Linked DNA regions of Caenorhabditis elegans. The protein of the gene in region 1 purifies or fractionates together with the protein of each later gene. This does not show direct contact. Each region holds a gene or a part of one and is shown in the gene's direction. Other genes may lie near its edges. The genes, in order: her-1, puf-12, rpl-13 and prdx-3.

Region 1 (7,402 bases):
ACTCTATTGAAAATTTTTGAAACGTGAGAATTTCTAGTTCGCAAATTCGTAATAAATTTGATTAAAAAATATGTTGAATGTATCTAATTCACAGTTGCAATATTTTTTCTTACTATTATTTTCCATTGTATCTGAAAAATTAACAAGTTTCTCATTTTCATTACTACATAGTCATCGTGAAATTTCAAACACTAAATATATTTTTTCCAAGTAATTTTTGATTCCAATTCTTAATTATATTGATGAACAGATAGTTATTTTTGGGCCAGGAAAATAAAATTCAATGTAGCAATATATATTTGCATCAACGGAGCTCAACACCATTATATATCCTTATTTTCCCTGAATTGCCTTTATTGTGCTCGGTTGTAGCTACACTTGTAGACCCACGTCATCTGTCCACACCGCCTACTCGTTTGATCTTCTTTCCCGCGCATTCGATCTCTAAGTCACTCAATCTCCTATGCTATTTTAGTGAATCACGCACATGCAATAGCATTTGCTCACAATTGCAGACACTCAGTTACTGTGAGACAGGCAATATAATGGCCCTTCGGGATATCGAGTGTTGTCTAGAATGAGGTAAGTTGTGAGAAGATAGGAAGACAACGAAGTAAGATAAAGGAATTGTATTTGACTAAAAAATGAAATATCAATTTGATAAAAATATGTTTTGAAACTGTAAATTAATTTAATACATTGTTTTCTTTGACAGATCTTTGCATGTTCAATCAGTTTCTGATCTGAAACTTTCAGCTGAAAAGTATAGACGAATAAATAGTCAAATTTAAGTAAATTGATAATCTTAGATAGACCTAAAAAAGTAAAGTGAACCAATTCACGATTCGGTACGTTTCTGCCATAGAATACAACTCATTTCTTAAAATGATATAGAACAATACTTTAAAGAGTTATTCTAAAGAGTTCTAAGAGTTATTAAGAGATATTACTCTAAAGAGTTACTAAAGAGTATTCAATCTGAACCTTAAAGGAACATTAAAACTGAAGAAGATTATTTTGTTATTCGTTCTATCATTACTACAATCTTGCTCTTTTGATCTCTTGTCTCATGAGTATTTTGGTAGTTCAATCTGACAATTAACAAATTGTTATGCAGGATATTCGCAAATTTGGCAATCCTTATCATATCAATTACCGTCAAAGGTGGAACATACCATGTTTGAAACGAAATGAAGTCAATTGGAACATATAGAACGGTTACAGTATGCTCGATAAAGTATAATTTGATAAACTTTATTTTGTAAAACTATTGTATCAATCATCTACGGCATTAATCCTCAACCTTGAAAATAGATATGAAAGTAAAGTTGACAAGGCACAAAATTGGAACATAGTGATCGAAAATAAAGATATCTATTAATTGGAAATTGTTCGGCGAGGGGCTCTTCGAAACATTTACTGGGGTTTTATGAAAGTTTCTTCTAAAAAACATAATTTAAGATTGAGAGGTGCTCTCAATCAATTCAATATTTTCAAAGAAATAATCATATTCTGTGAAATCAACACTTAAATTATACATTTTTTCATATCTTTTAAAAAATGGAGTTGTATTTACAGGATTTAATGAGATTGTTGAGAGTGACGTCACTGACGAGCAGATATGTTTCAAACATGAACTAATTAGTTTCTAGTATAGTTTTGCCTAGTTTCTTATATATTAAGCAGAAACAACGGACCAGTTCTTCAGCTTCTGAGAGTAGATTATATCTTAGGAGCATACATGAGCACTGTATGTACCTTCTTTGTCTAACTTTCTTTGAGTATCTAAGTCTCTTCAGGTTCTATATCCATCATTCAACCAAATGACACTGCAGGGATGCCTATCTCCTGACTGAACCCACCAGTCGTCTCTTGCTCATATTCCTCCTACCTTCTGCTTCTATTTTCTCAGCGCATCTTGTCCACCTACAGTAGTAAATCTCCTCCCTTTCCTTACGTTGCATTATGAGATATCTCCCAATTTTTGTGTTTCTCGGATCATTTGGCTATACGGAAACTACATTAACAAAGGAACTTATCAAAGATGCAGCTGAGAAATGCTGTACAAGAAACCGTCAAGAATGTTGCATTGAAATTATGAAATTTGGGTGAACCGCTTTTACGAGCACGAACAATGCGATAATCGGTATAATTTAGAACCCCAATTCGATGTGGTTATGACAGGGATCCGAAGCTACCCGGATATGTCTACAAATGTCTTCAAAATGTGTTGTTTGCAAAAGAACCAAAGAAAAAGATTAACTTGGATGGTGAGCGTTTTTTTTTCAGGTAAAATTCTCCTCACAAGCCAAGATATCAAGTTTTGTTTATTCTTAAGAAATATAGGAAATGACTAATACGGTATGTACAAGTTAGTTTTAACTTGAGGAAAATCGAGAAACCGGTGGCATAGCGCCCGCCCGTGAGGTCATTGATTGGCCGGAGGCAGAAAGACCACACGCATTGAAAAGTCACAATATCTTTTCTGCCTCTTTCATTCGTATACTCTTTGGAAATTTTCAATAATTTTGAACATTTTTTTTTTAATATTCTTGCCTCAAATTGTTTTGAAAAAAATCAAAGTAAATCATCAGAGGCTTCTCTGATTTCAAAATAATAGTTAGAACGTAAGTAAAGAGAGAGCGTTTGAAATTTTTCATGAGTAAGATTATTATTACTACTTATCTTTAACTATTTGAAATTTAAAAATGGCATGCAATGTATGGGAGAAATATTTGAAGAAAGCGCCCAAGACTTCAAGAATATCTGAATTTGAGGAGTTATATCACAAAAACTGAGCCTGCAACCTATACTAAAAAGTATACCAAAACAAAGATAAAATTAAAGTCTTTGTTTCTGAGTATTTATTATCATTTGAAAAATTATTTAATAACACGTAAAACGTCTTCAAACTAACCCCAATTTAGAATGTTCGCGCTCTCTCTTGCTGAAATCAATTATAACTATGATAGAATGATTATTCGAATAATTCATAAGGGCTATTATTTTTTCACTTTAAATTATAAAACGAATACTTTACCAATTTTGAAACAAAGTTTCTGCCAATGTGAAATTAAACTGGAAATTGAAGTTTCACCGCTAAGTTCGAAAGCAAATGTTGGGCATTTCCATAATCCGAGTTACAGCAGAACGAGATGTTATCATATAGTAAAAAAATTGTTCAAACATTTTTCGATATTTTAGAAATTAGAAAAAATGCAGTACGATGACGTAGACAATGGTAAGAGGAGGAAGATAGTGCGTATGTGTGCGCAGAGAGGTACAAGGCTTCGGGCATTGGGCAGTCGCCACCATACGCTCGATCGATATATTCAAAGTCGGTCAGGCTTTTAACAATTTGAAGCTTACTGATATCAGTAAATTTGTGATAAATGTCAAGGATACCGTGTCTTTGAAGCAACTTAAGCTCTCTATAGTTTCCTGATTTGATTTCACTTCAACATACTACATTTCCAGTTATTGATAACACTTATCAACTAGCATTTAAACATTTTCTCATATCTATAATAATGTTTGATTTCCTGTAAATAGTTTCCTCTTCCATTTCGAATTGTAATATTTCCCTCAATAACATTGGAACCTTGTTCAACTAAATAGGGATCACTTTGACAACACCTAAAGCATCTACAAAAAATTTTTGGTAATGTAACAACCAAGTTTTCTAAAAGAATTTGACATGCTCTATTTGTTAGAAAAACTTTTTGATTATGTTTCAGGCTCAGTTTTTGAGATATTCAACTCTAAAGTTGCAACTTGTTCTAGGTGGTCCGTTCAATTGTCCTAGGGTTGTGCAGGCAATTGGTATTGCGCAGGGAGAATAGACGGACCCTTGTGTCTTGCGTACCACCTGTCATCATGTTTCGAGAGTAGATATTCTTCAAACCCTCAAACTATTTAGAAATATATTTTTTAGCCTCAAAAAGTTACGTTTTTCGTTCAGAATTCTATTAGGGCTACGTTTTAACATAAGTTTTAAAATAGGCTTCTTTATTTGTTTTTGAGATATTCATGGCCAAAAAAAAACTTTACAGTATTGAATTTGGCTCTAATATTTTTCAATACTTGTTCTCTACAATGTTAAAAAAAAATTAATTTCGCCTACTCATTTGATCATTTAATAGATTTATGAAAACATAAAAATTATGATAACAATGTCTTTGAATTCTCTGATAATGTTCATAATTTGTTTTGATCTTTCTCGTGTTATCTCTCCAAGATAAAAGAGTGTTCTACTGCGAGCACTGATACCATATCTTTGCATGTTTATCCTTTTATCAGTTGACTCACTCTTTTGTTAGGTGTATTGATTAGATGGGAGACTCCCCTGCAACAATTGTCCTACAGGAGCAGAGCAGTTGCTTTTTTTCTTTTGACATCTTGCATTTTTCGTTAGAAAGAAAATATTTAAGTGCCGCCGGGAGCAATCTGTTTTATTTACAAATATATCAGAATGCACGGCATCAGCTAATAAATATTGAATAAGTATTTTCTTGTTCTCACCCCTGTACAGTTTGCTTTTCTATTCCTCATTACACCTCCCAATCCAGGTGTGCTTGGTCCTTCATCTTATTAGATCTGCCATACGGTATAGGAATTACGATCTACAGTCGTCATAAAAGAGTCCGCAATACCGTCATGTGTGTCGAGTTGCAACAAAAGAGTATATGGGAAATGAGAGACTACGGTAAATGAGAGATACCGTAGACGAGATATAATGTAAGAGAGTGGTAGATCAAATGAGATGAAAAACGCGTCGATTAGGTCCATCCAGGAGAAACTAGATTGCGTAGAGCAAACATAGCTGTTTTGACGGGAACAATGTTTTTTGAGACTACAAATATCATAGCTTCAGCTACATCTGAGGTTTTCAAATTTTTCTCGAATAGCTGATAAAGTGAAACTTCATAATGAAGGTAGATATCAGTGCTCAAATAATGTATACCGTATTCCCCGTTATTGTATTAGACCTTATTGTTCAATTTTACCAGCTTATATTTTAGTTAGCGTTTGTTCTATTCAAATATTGCCAATTGAGAAACTATTATTTCTTTTTCAATTGCTTGCAGTTAAAATTTATTGATATCTTTAAAATGAGTTGATAGTGAGATATAAAGCTTTCAATTAAAATAATGTGGTGCAATACTATTAGAGAAAATACAGTAATCTTACTAAACTAAATGCACGCGTGATTAAATCCAAAAAGTACAGAACTTAATTGGTTTATTTAGGTGCGTTCCCCTGAGCAGAAATTGTCTTAATATAAATTAATTTGAAAATCTGAAATTCGAGAAATTTCTACTTTCTGTAAAGTTGTGAATATTCACTAATTTTATTGATAATATGAGGTTTATAGAAAAACTTACAAATGCATTTGACTCACAGAATTGCTATAATTTTACGATTTCCCAGAAGAGACTTTCCCAAAAGAAATCGTTATTTTTGAGGGACAAATTGTCTTAATTATCGATCTATTATTTGCCTCTTCACACGTAAAACATGCCAACACCTGTCTCTTTTGACTCCGCCTCTCTGATTGCCCCGCCCATTTGCCCATCCCACGCCCTAATCTCATATTGTCTTTATTCAGACTCCGTGTGCTGCTCCGTGTTTGGCAACGACCAAAACGATTCTGGAAGAAGATGTGAGAATCGTTGCAAGAACCTCATGACCAGCCCTTCCATCGACGCTGCCACACGTCTGGACAGCATCAAAAGTTGCTCGCTTCTGGATAATGTACTGTATAAAGTGAGTTTTTGTTAACACAGAATTTCAGTTCGCCTATTCTAGTTAGACAAACGGGTAAATTGAAAATATTCGGTGCAATCTGTCTTATGGTTTTTTCAGCTCCTGCCTATTTCAGTACGTAGTCCTAATTTTTCCAGTTTTAAAGAAAGGATCCCTAGTTGACCAAAGCCAAGTTTAAAAATATTAAATTATCTCCAACTCTGTAAAAACGGCTGCGATTTGCAGACTTTTTCTTGGTCCAGGCAAACAATTTTGGAGTTCGTCCCATCCATTCCCTCGTCTATAAAATTCATCCTAAAACGGAGAAAATTAAAAAAAAAATTCAATTGGCAAGCGGAAAATCCGATAGTGGATAGATATCACCCCAAAAATTGTTCGCCTAGGTTGAGATACATTTTTGGAGCAGTGCGTCAGTCCAGGAACCACGTTTTTCAAAGATATCTCATTCGATATTCTAATCGTTCAATTCGAGTTAATCAAGTGTGTCATAAAACAAATTTATTTTTCAGTGTTTTGAGAAATGCCGGAGCCTCCGTAAAGATGGTATCAAAATTGAAGTGCTCCAATTCGAAGAATACTGCAATGCAACGTTTATCCAAAAGCGAACTTTCCGAGGAGTCTGAATCTGGGCTCATTAGCCTAAAACATCCCTAATCCGCCGTTGTCATTATGGCACTCTCCATCATGAGTGGTCCAATTTTTTCTTTTCTTTCTAAACCTTTTTATTTTATTTTTTGTAACACCTCTATGTCTACCTCTTAATCAAAGCTTTGAGCTTTACTCACTTTGAGTTATATTTTTAATCTTGTGTTCTCCTTATGTTGAAGAAAATTTTCGATACGCAACTTGTCATATTGTTGTATATATTTTTAATAGAATTTTTTGAAATGTCCTATTCTTATTGATTTCTTCTTAACATTCTCTTCAAGAATGTTTTCGGATGCGCTCAGATGTCATGAAGGCGCACTACGGTGCGGTCCTGATTTTATTTATTTTTTTTTTCATAAAAAATATATCTTCTCTTGTTGGTTTCTCCTAAAGTTGTCAAATATGAATATTCAAGTACTTTCTACGATCTTTTTTATTGAATAAATTGTTTTATCAACGCACAGAACCCATACGACATAATCAACAAAAAATGATAAGAAAGTGATTTTCGAACTACAAATTTTATCAATTTTTTTTCAATTCTCTGCTTTCTAACAAATTCTAAATTTTATTTGTAATTTTAGTTATTCAAACTGCAAAACGAGCAAAACTTTATTTCTTATCCGTTTTGAAAGATTAATAAACTAAATGTAATGTTGTTTCTCATATTCTGCTTGTTATTTTAAACTGAATAATGCTTTAGAGCTAGCAAGGAAAAATCAATCAATTCATTCGAAATTGATAAAATGGCCATTAAGGTTTTTTTTTAAATTTTATGTGTTAACACATGTGTTGGGTTTCATCATAAACTTGTACTTGGTGGAATTCAAACTATATAAGTTTAGATTTTTTGTAAATCAACACAAGTTACCAAAACTGTTCAGGCGTGATCCGAGTTTGAAGTATGGATTCTGCTAACTTAAGTTTAGAATACAATATAAGAATAAAGTTAAGAAAACAATTAACTCAAGAAATGCCGATGTTCTTA
Region 2 (5,089 bases), on another chromosome or scaffold:
GGATTTGGAAGATGGGATCACGATTGCCTACGTCTCGAATGGATTGAAAACTGGAATGGGAGAGCTTACGAGAACATACAGACATCTTCGAGATTCTGTATTTGAGTGCTTGGAGAAACAGAAGACTGGTCAAAGTGTGATGATCGAGGAAGCAGTTCAAGCAGTTGCCGCATAACTTAAAAAATTGTTGTTATCCTTGTTTGTACATAGCGCCATAATTTGGGACGGGTCTACTGCCCCCAGCGAATTGTGCATAAACATGTTTCTGGTTTGTCTGAATTTGTATTGAGAAAAATGGGTAATACCGGGAAACCGAAAAATAATGAACAGAAAAAGTTAAAAAAAAACATCCGGGTGCAAAAAGTTCTTCTTGAAGTCGGTGAGTCGGTTTGAAGTACAATAAAATGACTCGCCGAGCGCAAGAAGTTTACCAGGGCAGAAAGAAGAGAGCTGATAATAAATTAAAAATGTGAATAAATACACGAGAATGATTCAATCGTCCATGTCGTCCTCGTCAAGCTTGGCAATAGCCCATTCCTCGGCAGCAGTGACAACCTCGCTTGGAACTTCTTCGTACTTTCCGTTCGTCTGCTCACCGACCCATCCCATTTCGATTTGAACGTTTTTATCCTTGTTCTCGTCACGCACCACCATAATGATTCGAGCAGCTTCCTTCACGAGTTGATTCACATCCAGCTCCTCGATCTTCAGCTTCTCAATCTCAGCTTTTGCGGCTTGGCGATGTTTTCCGACAGCCCATGCCTTGTATTCATAGTTTAGACCTGATGGCTCCACAAGGAAAAGACGTCCTCCAGTTTGTTTGTTCCATGACATGAAGAAGGCTCCTGCTCCAAACGGACGACTAATGCCGAGAGTGTGAATGTGAATGTACTCAGCAACTGAGTTAGCAATATTCTGAATCGGCATTGGCTCACGGTAGTCTTTGAGCCACTTCATTGCTTCTCCGTAAGCATAGTTCTTCAGAGCGAAACCATCTGGATAGTTTCCAGCAACTGCGACACCAACATTGTCGTTCACGTTAAACATTCTTGGATTAGCGTTCTGAAAATTATAGATAAAATCTTGAAAATCTCTTAAATTACTCACATCAGTGTAAAGTTTGGAAGAGATCAGCTTGTCAGCAACGACCACAACTCCGTTCTTGCCACGAATTGCAATCATTGTTCCTGCATTGTCGACAGCCTTTTGAGCGTACTCGACTGAAAACGAGATTATGAGTATTTTGAACAAAGCAAAATCGAAACAAACCTTGGAAAATTCTGCCATCAGGAGAAAAAGTAGAGGCGGCGAGATCGTAGCCGGTACCGATTGAACTCATTCTGCAAAATAAAAACTATGTTAACACATATATGATTGCAACTGGTACGTGTTTTATTTCTGCGGAAATCAGAAGAACCGTTAAAATTTAATATTTAATAATTCGTTTATTTGAATGCGTTAAAAATAGTAGAATTATTGCGAAAATAAAAGCTGATAATCTGAAAATGGCAGCTAAATGGAAATAAAATTTCAAATGATGATTTTCCAATGTCGATTTACGGGAGAGACGAACATTGCGGCAGGTCTCGCAACGACGAAGAAGAGAGTGTGTAAATTGAGAGACGTCAGAAGACAACATGCGCCTTTAACATTTTCTTTTCATTTTTCTTTACTTTTTCGTAACTTTTTGTTACTATTTTGAAGCTGTGCAATTTGTTTCCAAAGTAAAAATCGCTTAAACCTCACATAAAATTGTCTTGTGTTTATTACTCCTTTTAATATGCGTGTCTTTCAGAGAAATCTCGCGGGTAAAAATGGTGAAACTCGACGACAAAAATAAAAAATTCAAAGGGAAGAAGAAGGTTAAAAATGTGTTGGAGAAAAAGGCAAAAGGATTAAAACTCAACAAAGTAGACAGAAAGCGAATTGTTAAGGTTTGTTAAATTACTTCATTTTGTAAATAATTTTTTGTGAAATATTTCAGATTGAAGAAAAAGCAGCGTTAAAAAGCAAAGTAGACAAAGCTGTGAAGGACGAGTTGGAAAGGTTGAAAAAGTCATCTTCAACATCAGTTTTTGATAATGATGGGACTCGTGACTCTTTGTGCTCGGAGTCTTCGTTCGGAAGCCAGCCAGCACCGAAAAAGAAATCGAAAAAAGTGCTTTTCTCAGGAGAACTTGAACATGTTAAGGTTTTCGATAAGCGAGTTCAGGATCTTCAAATCAAACCATCAGAGGCATCTCCAGGAAGAGGAATTCTCAGATCCCCTCTTGATAAGAAGGTTAAGGTTTGTTAATTCAATATATCGTCTTTTACACAATTGTTTTTTTTCAGAAACTTGCCAAAGTGAAGACTGTCAAAGTTGCTCAGGAAGAAGAAGAAGAGCATTCCGCTCCCCCAAAGAAAAAAGTGAAGGTTAATGCAGAGAAAGCCGTTGCTTCTGAGCCAGCAGACGATGAAAATTTGGAATCTGTCGACGAACAAGCAGGTGGAGATGAATCTCATATTGACATTCCAACTCTAAAGAGAAAGAGAGTAGCTATTCAAGTCACAAAGTCTGTTAAAGAACAATTGCTGAATATGCCGAGAAAAGAAAGAAAAGCATTTTTGAAGGAGTTGAAATTGAAGAGAAAACCTGAAGGAGCTCGTGCTCAAAAATGCAAGGAACTTTGGGAAAAGATCAGAATGGGAAAGACGCCAAAAGCTGAAAAGGATACTGCGGTTCACGAGTTGTATGGTCTTGTAAAAGGACACGCTGCCAAGCTGATCTATGCTCACGACACCAGCAGAGTTATCGAATGTCTTGTTGCCACTGAAAGAGAAGGAATCATTAACAACTGTAAGTTTTTTGAAGGTTCCCATGAATAATTACGAGAACATAATTATTGCAGTGTTCAACGAATTAACCCCAGAAATAGTGAGGATGTCAAAGAACGTCTATTCCAAATTTTTCGTCAAGAAAATGTTGAAGAATGGAACTAAAGAACAACGTGATATTATCATTAATGCATTCCGCGGACATGCTCCAACCCTGCTCAGAATCAAACATGCTGCCGAAGTTCTTGAATATGCTTACAATGACTTCGCTAATGCCCATCAGCGTTACAACATCATTACTGAATTTTATGGAAAAGAATTCATTTTGTTCAGAGTAAACAACATTCAATTAAGCTCTAAAAATAGTTTGTTGATTTCAGGAAGACAATATCAGATCTCTGACGGAGATTCTCGCTGAAAAGCCGGAAAAGAAGGTTGTGATTTTGAAGCATTTGGACGAGGTTATTGGAGCAGTGAATGAAAAAGAAACTTTGCGACTTTCAATTCTGCACAAACTTATGCTCGACTTTTTCGATAATTGCGACGAGGAAAAGAAAATCAATCTCCTTGATTCACTGAAAGATAAAATTCCCGAGTTCATTCATACTCCAGATGGTGCCAAATTGGCTATTAAACTCATTTGGTTTGCTCCAGTCAAGGAAAGAAAATTGATCGTCAAGAATTTCAAGGATTTGTCAGTAAAAGCCGCAATGGAACATTACGGACATCGTGTTCTTCTTGCACTTTTTGATACTGTCGACGATACTGTTCTTCTCAATAAGGTTATTGTCTCCGAGTTGGCAAATGAAATGAAGAAGTTGATCGAAGATGATTGGGGAGAGAAAGTTATCCACTATTTGGTGCATCCAAGAGATGGAAGAGGAATCGACAAAAGAGAAATTACATTCCTTGCCGAAGGTGATAGCAATCCACACTCGAAGAAAACTCAAAAGGATAGATATGGACAGTTGTACGCCGGTATTACCGAGAACTTGTATCCTTATTTGGCTGCTAACTTCGAAGAGCTTGTTTTCGAGGCCAACAAGTCAAAATTCGTGGCTGCATGTCTCGAAACCACCTGTAAGTTTAAAAGTTGCACAATTATAAAGAATTCGAGTTTTTTTCAGCAAGCTTCGATTTGTTCGATCGACAAGTCCCAGCAGAAGCTCGCAAGAGTTGCAACCAAGCGATCGTTGAATTGGCGAAGAAGGACTTTGTACCAATGGACCAGGAAGGCTTCCACATTATTGAACACCAATCGGGCAATTTCATTCTCATGGCAGTCATGCGCTGTGATGCCGCTCTACAAGAAGATGAACGTTTGTCAGTTGCATTGGCAGAAGGACTTACGAGCAAGCAGCTTGGCTCGTGGGTGACTTGCAATCGCGGTTGCCATGTTCTCTTGAAAATGCTTCAAGTTGGAGGACCGAAAGTTATTGAAAAATTGAAGGCTTCGATCAGCAGAAAACACTTGGATGGCTATAACTCAAAAGGAGCAAATCTTCTGAAGGCACAGCTCGACGGAAATGTCAAGAAGTGAGAATGCAAGGTATACGAATTAATTTTTGTTGATTTTATTTGTTTTGAGGGATTCGTCCTATACATCTCTAAATACCACACCTTTTTATTGTTCTCGTTATTTTGTTGTTGACTTTTTTTTTATTACTTTTTGCATCTCGTTAATTTTTTGAAACACCGTACGGTAATAAAAAGGAAAAATATAAAAAAAACGTTGTAAAAACACAGAATTGAGATCATAATAACAGTGTGCAATTATAATTTTAGATTATTGATTCATTAACAATTTTCTCGATATCCTCGCTTCGGTCGACATTTACGACAACGGTGATTTTTGGCATTTTGTTATGGAGATCCGCCAGCTTAGTGAGAAAATTCGATGCAGCTTCGCCATGTCCACGAGAATAGCTTTTCAGACCAACAATTATTTTTTCATATGCTACAGCTTCTTCCAACTGCTCCAGAGCGACAAAGTATCGATCACGATCACCATCGAGCAGATCAACTATCATTATTAAGCCTTAATCTTTCAGTTTTCAGATGACGCAACAATTATCGAAAAACTCACGCAATCCTTCAGAATAAATCGTAAGATCTTCAGTTCTGTCAATGATTTCTAAAAAGTCGCAATTATAACGAAGAATGTTTCTGTAAATTGAAGAAATTGTAGAATAACTAAATAATAGACTTACGATCGGGACGAAATTCGAGTGCTGTGGTTTTCGATGAACTTTCTCACTTCGTTTCGGTGACA
Region 3 (3,403 bases), on another chromosome or scaffold:
CAAAGAGCATGTCCTACTGATGATTTATCCGGTGTAAGAGAGGTCGAAATACGCGATTGAAAAGAGGAAGAGAGAAGTTTTTTTCTCATTTCATTAAAGAACGCCGTTTGCCCTATCTCTCTTCACTTTCTCACCCGTTTCCTGCTAGTTCAAAACTTCACTAATCACCGTCCGAATCTCTTTGGCTCGTTATGCTTTTCAACTGACGGACGGCGCAATTAGGGAACAACGTTGGCGTTGCGCGAAGAATGAATAGATAATAATCTTGGCTCTCGCCCCATTGTGCTCTTTCTACTCCACACTCAGCTTCTGCCAATTCCTTCCGACACATGGGCTTTTATACTTCTTCTTCCTCAAATTGCTAAACAAAGTCAGAAATCGAGTGCAGATATTGCCGCCACGTGATTCTCTTAATTCTCTTATGCTCGATAGAGCTCCACCTATTTTTGATTTATGCTCTCCTCTCACGCAGTTTTCTCAACTCTCTTTGAATATTTCCATGTTTCCATGGTTGCCATCGAGTGCTCATTCTTTTCCGGTCGTTATTCCTATTTTCACTATACAAACACCTTTTATTTTTCAGAAAATCATGGCCGCTGCTGCTGGATTCAACTGGGATGATGCTGATGTGAAGAAAAGGTAAATTATTTGGATTTTAAATTATAAACTTTGCAAGAAGTCCAGTAGTTTACCGATTTCAATTTTGGTAACCAGAAAAAAATTAACAAAACATTGTTTTTCACACAGTTTCGAGTTAGAATTTCGCATCAAAACCTTTTAATTTTCTAGATGGGACGCGTTCACCAAATTCGGAGCTGCTACCGCCACCGAAATGACTGGAAAGAACTTCGACAAGTGGCTTAAGGATGCTGGTGTCCTCGACAACAAAGCCATCACCGGGACAATGACCGGAATCGCTTTCAGCAAAGTTACTGGGTGGGTTGAACTTTACTGTCTGCATCGAATTAACTAAAAAATTTATTATAGACCTAAAAAGAAGGCCACTTTCGACGAAACGAAGAAAGTGCTGGCATTTGTCGCCGAGGATCGCGCGAGACAAAGTAAGAAGCCGATTCAGGACGAACTGGACGCAATCACAGAGAAATTGGCCAAATTGGAAGCGCCGAGTGTTGGAGGTGCGGCGAAGGCCAATGCGGCCGGCGTTTACAGCCGTCTCACCGATCACACAAAGTATACTGGAGCCCATAAAGAAAGATTCGATGCCGAAGGAAAAGGTATTTGTAGAAAATGAATTCACGAAAGAAATATGTAATTTCAGGAAAAGGAAAATCAGGACGTGCGGATACAACAGAAAATACTGGATATGTTGGAGCTTACAAGAATAAAGATTCCTACGATAAAACACATGGAAAGTAATCAAAGATCTCTCTATGGACCAAATAAATGCACTTCTTTTTCTTTTCGTTTTGTCTATATTCTCGAATGTATAATTCCCAGTAATATCTTTGTATTAATAAATTTATTTATTTAACTTTTTTTAATCTAAAATTCAAAAGCAAATAATTTCAGTAATTTTTTGAATTAAATTAATTCCACTTTCTAGTTTTTAGAGATGATAAAGTAGTTTGAAGTTATGTACCATATTAAAAATTATTTTCAGAAAAGTTAAGTTCACTGAAAATACCACTTTCTTATTGATTTAACTATTTTAAATGGAAATATTCAATTTTATAGACTGCGAAACAAATTAGGCACACATTTTGTTCCTGCGTAAATCGACACAAGTACACAGGCAGGTCTCGCAGCGCTTGGCTGCCGCAGCCAATTCGTTGGCTGAGTATTCAACGTTGTAACACTGTGAAGAAGAAACCCATAGAATTTTTCTGAATTTTTTCTTTTCTTTTTTGATTCAATATGCTGATTTTTTAAATTTTCTCCCGGAAATTGTTTTAAAAATATCTATTTAAGCTTTTTTTCGCAATTTTGCGTTGTTATTGAGTTATTTTCTGTATTTCTATCGCAATTTTCATTAGTTTGAACTAAAATCGCAATTTTACTTCTTTTTTTCAGGGTACAATGGCTCCACGTGGAAACCAAATGTTGGGCAATGCCCATTTCCGCAAGCACTGGCACAAGCGCATAAAGACCTGGTTCGACCAGCCAGCTCGCAAACTCCGCAGAAGACAGAACCGTCAAGCTAAGGCTGTCGAAATCGCTCCTCGCCCAGTTGCTGGACTTCTCAGGTTAGATAGAATTAGTCTTTTCATTAAATATAGTTTCATTTCAGATCTGTCGTCCGTTGCCCACAGAAGAGATACAACACCAAGACTCGTCTTGGACGTGGTTTCTCTCTTCAAGAGCTCAAGGCCGCCGGAATCTCCCAGGCTCAGGCCCGCACCATCGGAATCGCCGTTGATGTGAGAAGAACCAACAAGACCGCCGAGGGACTTAAGGTATGTAATAAATTATTTTGCATGAAAATTAAATGTATACAATATTTTAGGCCAACGCCGATCGTCTCAAGGAGTACAAAGCCAAGCTTATCCTCTTCCCGAAGAAGGCTAGCGCACCAAAGAAGGGAGACAGCTCTGTAAGTTTTTTTTTGCATTTAATTAAGTTTGAAAGTATTTTTGAACTTAGTCGATAACAGTTTGTTAAATAATTCCTGCATAATATGAATATTGATTTTTAAGGCTGAGGAGCTCAAGGTTGCCGCCCAACTTCGCGGAGATGTCCTTCCACTTTCCCACACCATCACCTTCGACGAGCCACGCCAAGTTACCGACGCCGAACGCAAGGTCGAGATCTTCAGACTTCTCCGCAAGGAGCGTGCTGACAAGAAATACCGTGGAAAGCGTGAGAAGAGAGCCAGAGAGGCCGCTGAGGAGAATAAGTAAATTGTTGATTTTCTCTGTTCATAAACTTGTTATGAAAGTTAACAGTGACTTACCAACGAACAAACGAAATGCAAATAATATTCTAAAATACAATACGTCTAGTTTAAGTTTTTATTTGAAAACTTATGGTCAAAAGTGAAACATCAGAACGGGAAAGTTGATTTTGAGTTTCCGATTGTAAATCTTAAAAATTCTGTCGCTTACTATTAGTTTAGGTTTTCATTGTGATTTTATTCGCTACTTGAAAAATATTAAAGTTTAATTTCAAGAAACGCATATTAATCCTCAGCTTTTGGTAAAAATTTGTAGCACTGAGAAATAGGTGGCTGTTGGCTTAAATATCCAATTATCCGTTTTCTTATTTTTGACCGATTTGTTCTAAAAATGTCTCCTTCCCATTCTAGACTCACTGATAATGTTTCGAGAGTTAATAATATTTAAAATTTCAATTAAGATATTCATTCACATATATTTAAAAACAACGTAGAACATTCACAATATTCTACAAATACACGTATTCAATTAGTTAATGAGAGTCATTGGAA
Region 4 (3,090 bases), on another chromosome or scaffold:
TGCGTTTTCAGAAAGCCCACTGGCCACTGTTGATTGCCCGTTCAGGTAAATTTGATATGAAATAATGAATTTTTGCAAACCAATGCTATTCAGAACATCATCTGAAGTCGAATCTTGGGGTCCATTCCTCGAAACTTTAACCGACGCTGAAATCGAAAAGAAGATGCGTGATCAAGACAGAAACACGAGAAGAATGCGTCGTCTTGTTGGCGGTGGATTCAACTATTGAAGTATCTACTGATCTCTACGAAATCAACCTGTATTTAACGAATTTTAACCATTTTATCTCAATATTTTTAATGTGCACTTTCTTTTAATTTATTCTTTCCTCGATCTTTTCTCTACATTTTCTCGTGTAAACTGCTCTTTCCAATAGGAACTTGTGGCGGTTTTCAAACTGAATGATCTAACTGAAAATATAAATAAATAAAATTTCAGAGCCCGATCGTCTCAATCGCTTGAAGAGAAAAATGAGCGACAACGAAGTAGAGATGGAGGATGTGGTGGCCAACGCCGAGAGATCAAGAGGTCGAGGACTTGCGCAGGTAAATTTTGTCGAATTTTGTAATCAATAATCAATAATATATTTTTCTAGAGTCGCAATCGCGAGAGGATCACCTACGACGTGGTCGATGAAGAGTCGTCTGCCACAAGCGGAGCACCACAAAGATCCGTTGAAGGATGGATTGTCTTCGTGACAAACATTCACGAAGAGGCAACAGAAGATGATGTTCATGACAAGTTTTCCGAGTACGGAAAAATTAAGAACATTCATTTGAATCTCGACAGACGAACCGGTTTTTTGAAGGGATACGCACTGGTGGAGTACGAAACGCAGAAGGTAATATTTTAGCAGTCGTCGTTTCTATCGAAATCATTTACTATATATAAAGCGCTTATTCTGTGTGTCCATAGTTTGTAGTCTATGTAGTCTTTGTAGTCTGTGAAGTTTTGGCTTCTGTGGGGATAGTGAGTTGGGGTTAGTGTAGGGATATAGTCGGGGTACTGTAGTGGTACAATAGTGGTACGGTAGGAATACTGTAGGGTTACGGTAGTTTCAGAAAAATTAGTTTTCAGCCCCAGAAGTGGGGGGCCGCGCCGGAGGTGCGGTCCACGGCTGGTATCAATATAAATTATTTATTTTCCAGGAAGCCAACGAAGCTATTGATCAGAGCAACGATACAGATCTTCTCGGCCAGAATGTCAAAGTCGATTGGTGCTTCGTCAAGGGAAAGAAGACTTCTGGAAAGCGCTGAAAACCACGTACTTAATTGTCCTCTCCAATCCACGTTTTATGTTTTTTTACACGTCACTGTTAAGTTTTTCCTTTTCTATTTATTTTTTGTCCTCTTTCCCAATTTACCATTCGAAATTTTAAATATCTATTTGGTCTCAACTCGCTCGCTCTTCTCAATTTTGCGATTTTTGTTATCTATGTGACACATGCAATAACAGTGAATAAAATGACCATTTTTCAATTATCTGCTGTTGCTATTTTCTTTTTATCGTTAACCAGTTTGGAACGATTTGATATCTTCAATTGTTTCGTAGATCAAATTCTGGAAAAAAAGATTTCTGAATATCTGAGTTTTGCAGATGTTTTCTTCTGCTGTTCGAGCTCTTTGCCGCACGGTTCCTACTGTTGCCACCCGCCAGTTGAGCACATCTCGTGCTCTTTTGTCACTTCGTCCACTTGGACCAAAAAATACTGTCCCAGCTTTCAAAGGAACTGCTGTCGTTGATGGAGACTTCAAGGTTAAAAATAACAAATATATATATTTTTTTCAAAAATTAATTCCAGGTGATTTCTGATCAAGACTACAAAGGAAAATGGCTCGTCATGTTCTTCTATCCACTTGACTTCACCTTTGTATGCCCAACTGAAATCATCGCATACGGAGATCGTGCAAACGAGTTCCGTTCTCTTGGAGCTGAAGTTGTCGCGTGCTCGTGTGATTCTCACTTCTCTCACTTGGCCTGGGTTAACACTCCACGCAAGGACGGAGGACTCGGTGATATGGACATCCCTTTGCTCGCTGATTTCAACAAGAAGATCGCCGACTCGTTCGGTGTGCTCGACAAGGAATCCGGACTCTCATACCGTGGACTTTTCCTCATTGATCCATCTGGAACTGTCCGTCACACTACTTGTAACGATCTTCCAGTTGGAAGATCTGTTGATGAGACTTTGAGAGTGCTCAAGGCATTCCAATTCTCTGATAAGCACGGAGAGGTGAATTTTGAAATTTACAAAAAATTTAATTTCTAGCAAAAAAAATGCAATGTTTTTTTTCCGAAACTTTGGCCCGCCATAAAAATATTTAAATTTTTGTTGAAAAGGAAATCGGTCGTTTCGGGCTAGTTTTAGTCCATTAAAACAAATTTCGACGAATAAAAAATTAATTTTTCAGGTTTGCCCAGCTGATTGGCATGAGGATTCTCCAACCATCAAGCCAGGAGTCGCTACCAGCAAGGAATACTTCAACAAGGTCAACAAGTGATCACACAGAAACAGAACAATTATTTTTATTCTTTGTATTTATCATATTGATGATTTAGTTTGTCGGTTTAAATAAATAGGTGTCATTCAGCTCGAGTTTTTTGAAATTAATTTTGGAAAATATACGGTTTCAGAAAAATCCATTAAAATATTGATTTTTGTTTCCTAAAAAGTTTTGGAAAAAAATGTGAATTTCATTTCAGATTTTTCTAAATAAATGAACAGGAAAAAATTAGCAGCATATGGTCAGGAATTCGAAGATGATGACGAAGAAGGTCTGCAATTTTACAGTTTTCAGGAAAAAAATAAATAATTTCAGGAAGCTCTGTATCAAAAAAGCCAACTCAAATCCACGAAGAGATAGCAACAGATGAAAAAGGAAAACGGAGATTCCATGGAGCCTTCACTGGAGGATTTTCAGCTGGTTATTGGAATACAGTTGGATCAAAGCAAGGATGGGTTCCTCAAGTGTTCTCATCATCTCGGAATGAACGTGGAGAACAAATAAAACAAAGAGCTGAAGATTTTATGGATGCAGAAGATCTTGGAGAATATGGAATAGGGAATCGATCGATAAAACAGACTGCGGC

The links.
Region 2: the proteins of her-1 (region 1) and puf-12 fractionate together in Caenorhabditis elegans (co-fractionation; one large-scale study listed by BioGRID). This does not show direct contact.
Region 3: the proteins of her-1 (region 1) and rpl-13 fractionate together in Caenorhabditis elegans (co-fractionation; one large-scale study listed by BioGRID). This does not show direct contact.
Region 4: the proteins of her-1 (region 1) and prdx-3 fractionate together in Caenorhabditis elegans (co-fractionation; one large-scale study listed by BioGRID). This does not show direct contact.

What each region holds. Positions count from the first base shown.
Region 1 is NC_003283.11:9,695,164-9,702,565, forward strand, and holds her-1 (Protein her-1), read left to right. Parts: upstream 1-1,851; 5' UTR 1,852-1,965; coding exon 1,966-2,108; intron 2,109-2,157; coding exon 2,158-2,270; intron 2,271-5,606; exon of another isoform or gene 5,607-5,608; coding exon 5,609-5,766; intron 5,767-6,275; coding exon 6,276-6,389; 3' UTR 6,390-6,872; downstream 6,873-7,402. UniProt on the Caenorhabditis elegans protein: Dictates male development. Probably plays a direct role in cell signaling during C.elegans sex determination. Inhibits the function of tra-2a.
Region 2 is NC_003280.10:10,098,515-10,103,603, forward strand, and holds puf-12 (Pumilio domain-containing protein 12), read left to right. Parts: upstream 1-1,795; 5' UTR 1,796-1,814; coding exon 1,815-1,934; intron 1,935-1,984; coding exon 1,985-2,287; intron 2,288-2,334; coding exon 2,335-2,839; intron 2,840-2,891; coding exon 2,892-3,151; intron 3,152-3,197; coding exon 3,198-3,897; intron 3,898-3,944; coding exon 3,945-4,357; 3' UTR 4,358-4,547; downstream 4,548-5,089. Other genes in the region: lact-2 (Beta-lactamase domain-containing protein 2), read left to right, coding at 1-175; pas-7 (Proteasome subunit alpha type-3), read right to left, coding at 493-1,062, 1,108-1,220, 1,270-1,339; putative RING finger protein ZK945.4, read right to left, coding at 4,599-4,855, 4,904-4,983, 5,028-5,089.
Region 3 is NC_003279.8:3,786,005-3,789,407, forward strand, and holds rpl-13 (Large ribosomal subunit protein eL13), read left to right. Parts: upstream 1-2,031; 5' UTR 2,032-2,037; coding exon 2,038-2,204; intron 2,205-2,248; coding exon 2,249-2,414; intron 2,415-2,464; coding exon 2,465-2,551; intron 2,552-2,654; coding exon 2,655-2,858; 3' UTR 2,859-2,892; downstream 2,893-3,403. Other genes in the region: tppp-1 (Tubulin polymerization-promoting protein homolog), read left to right, coding at 590-639, 790-936, 988-1,235, 1,280-1,377. UniProt on the Caenorhabditis elegans protein: Component of the ribosome, a large ribonucleoprotein complex responsible for the synthesis of proteins in the cell.
Region 4 is NC_003281.10:4,405,848-4,408,937, forward strand, and holds prdx-3 (putative peroxiredoxin prdx-3), read left to right. Parts: upstream 1-1,596; coding exon 1,597-1,755; intron 1,756-1,801; coding exon 1,802-2,233; intron 2,234-2,411; coding exon 2,412-2,501; 3' UTR 2,502-2,587; downstream 2,588-3,090. Other genes in the region: snfc-5 (SWI/SNF Subunit INI1 DNA binding domain-containing protein), read left to right, coding at 1-45, 94-229; RNA-binding protein rnp-4, read left to right, coding at 471-545, 596-841, 1,149-1,256; gpch-1 (G patch domain-containing protein 1 homolog), read left to right, coding at 2,718-2,775, 2,820-3,090. UniProt on the Caenorhabditis elegans protein: Thiol-specific peroxidase that catalyzes the reduction of hydrogen peroxide and organic hydroperoxides to water and alcohols, respectively.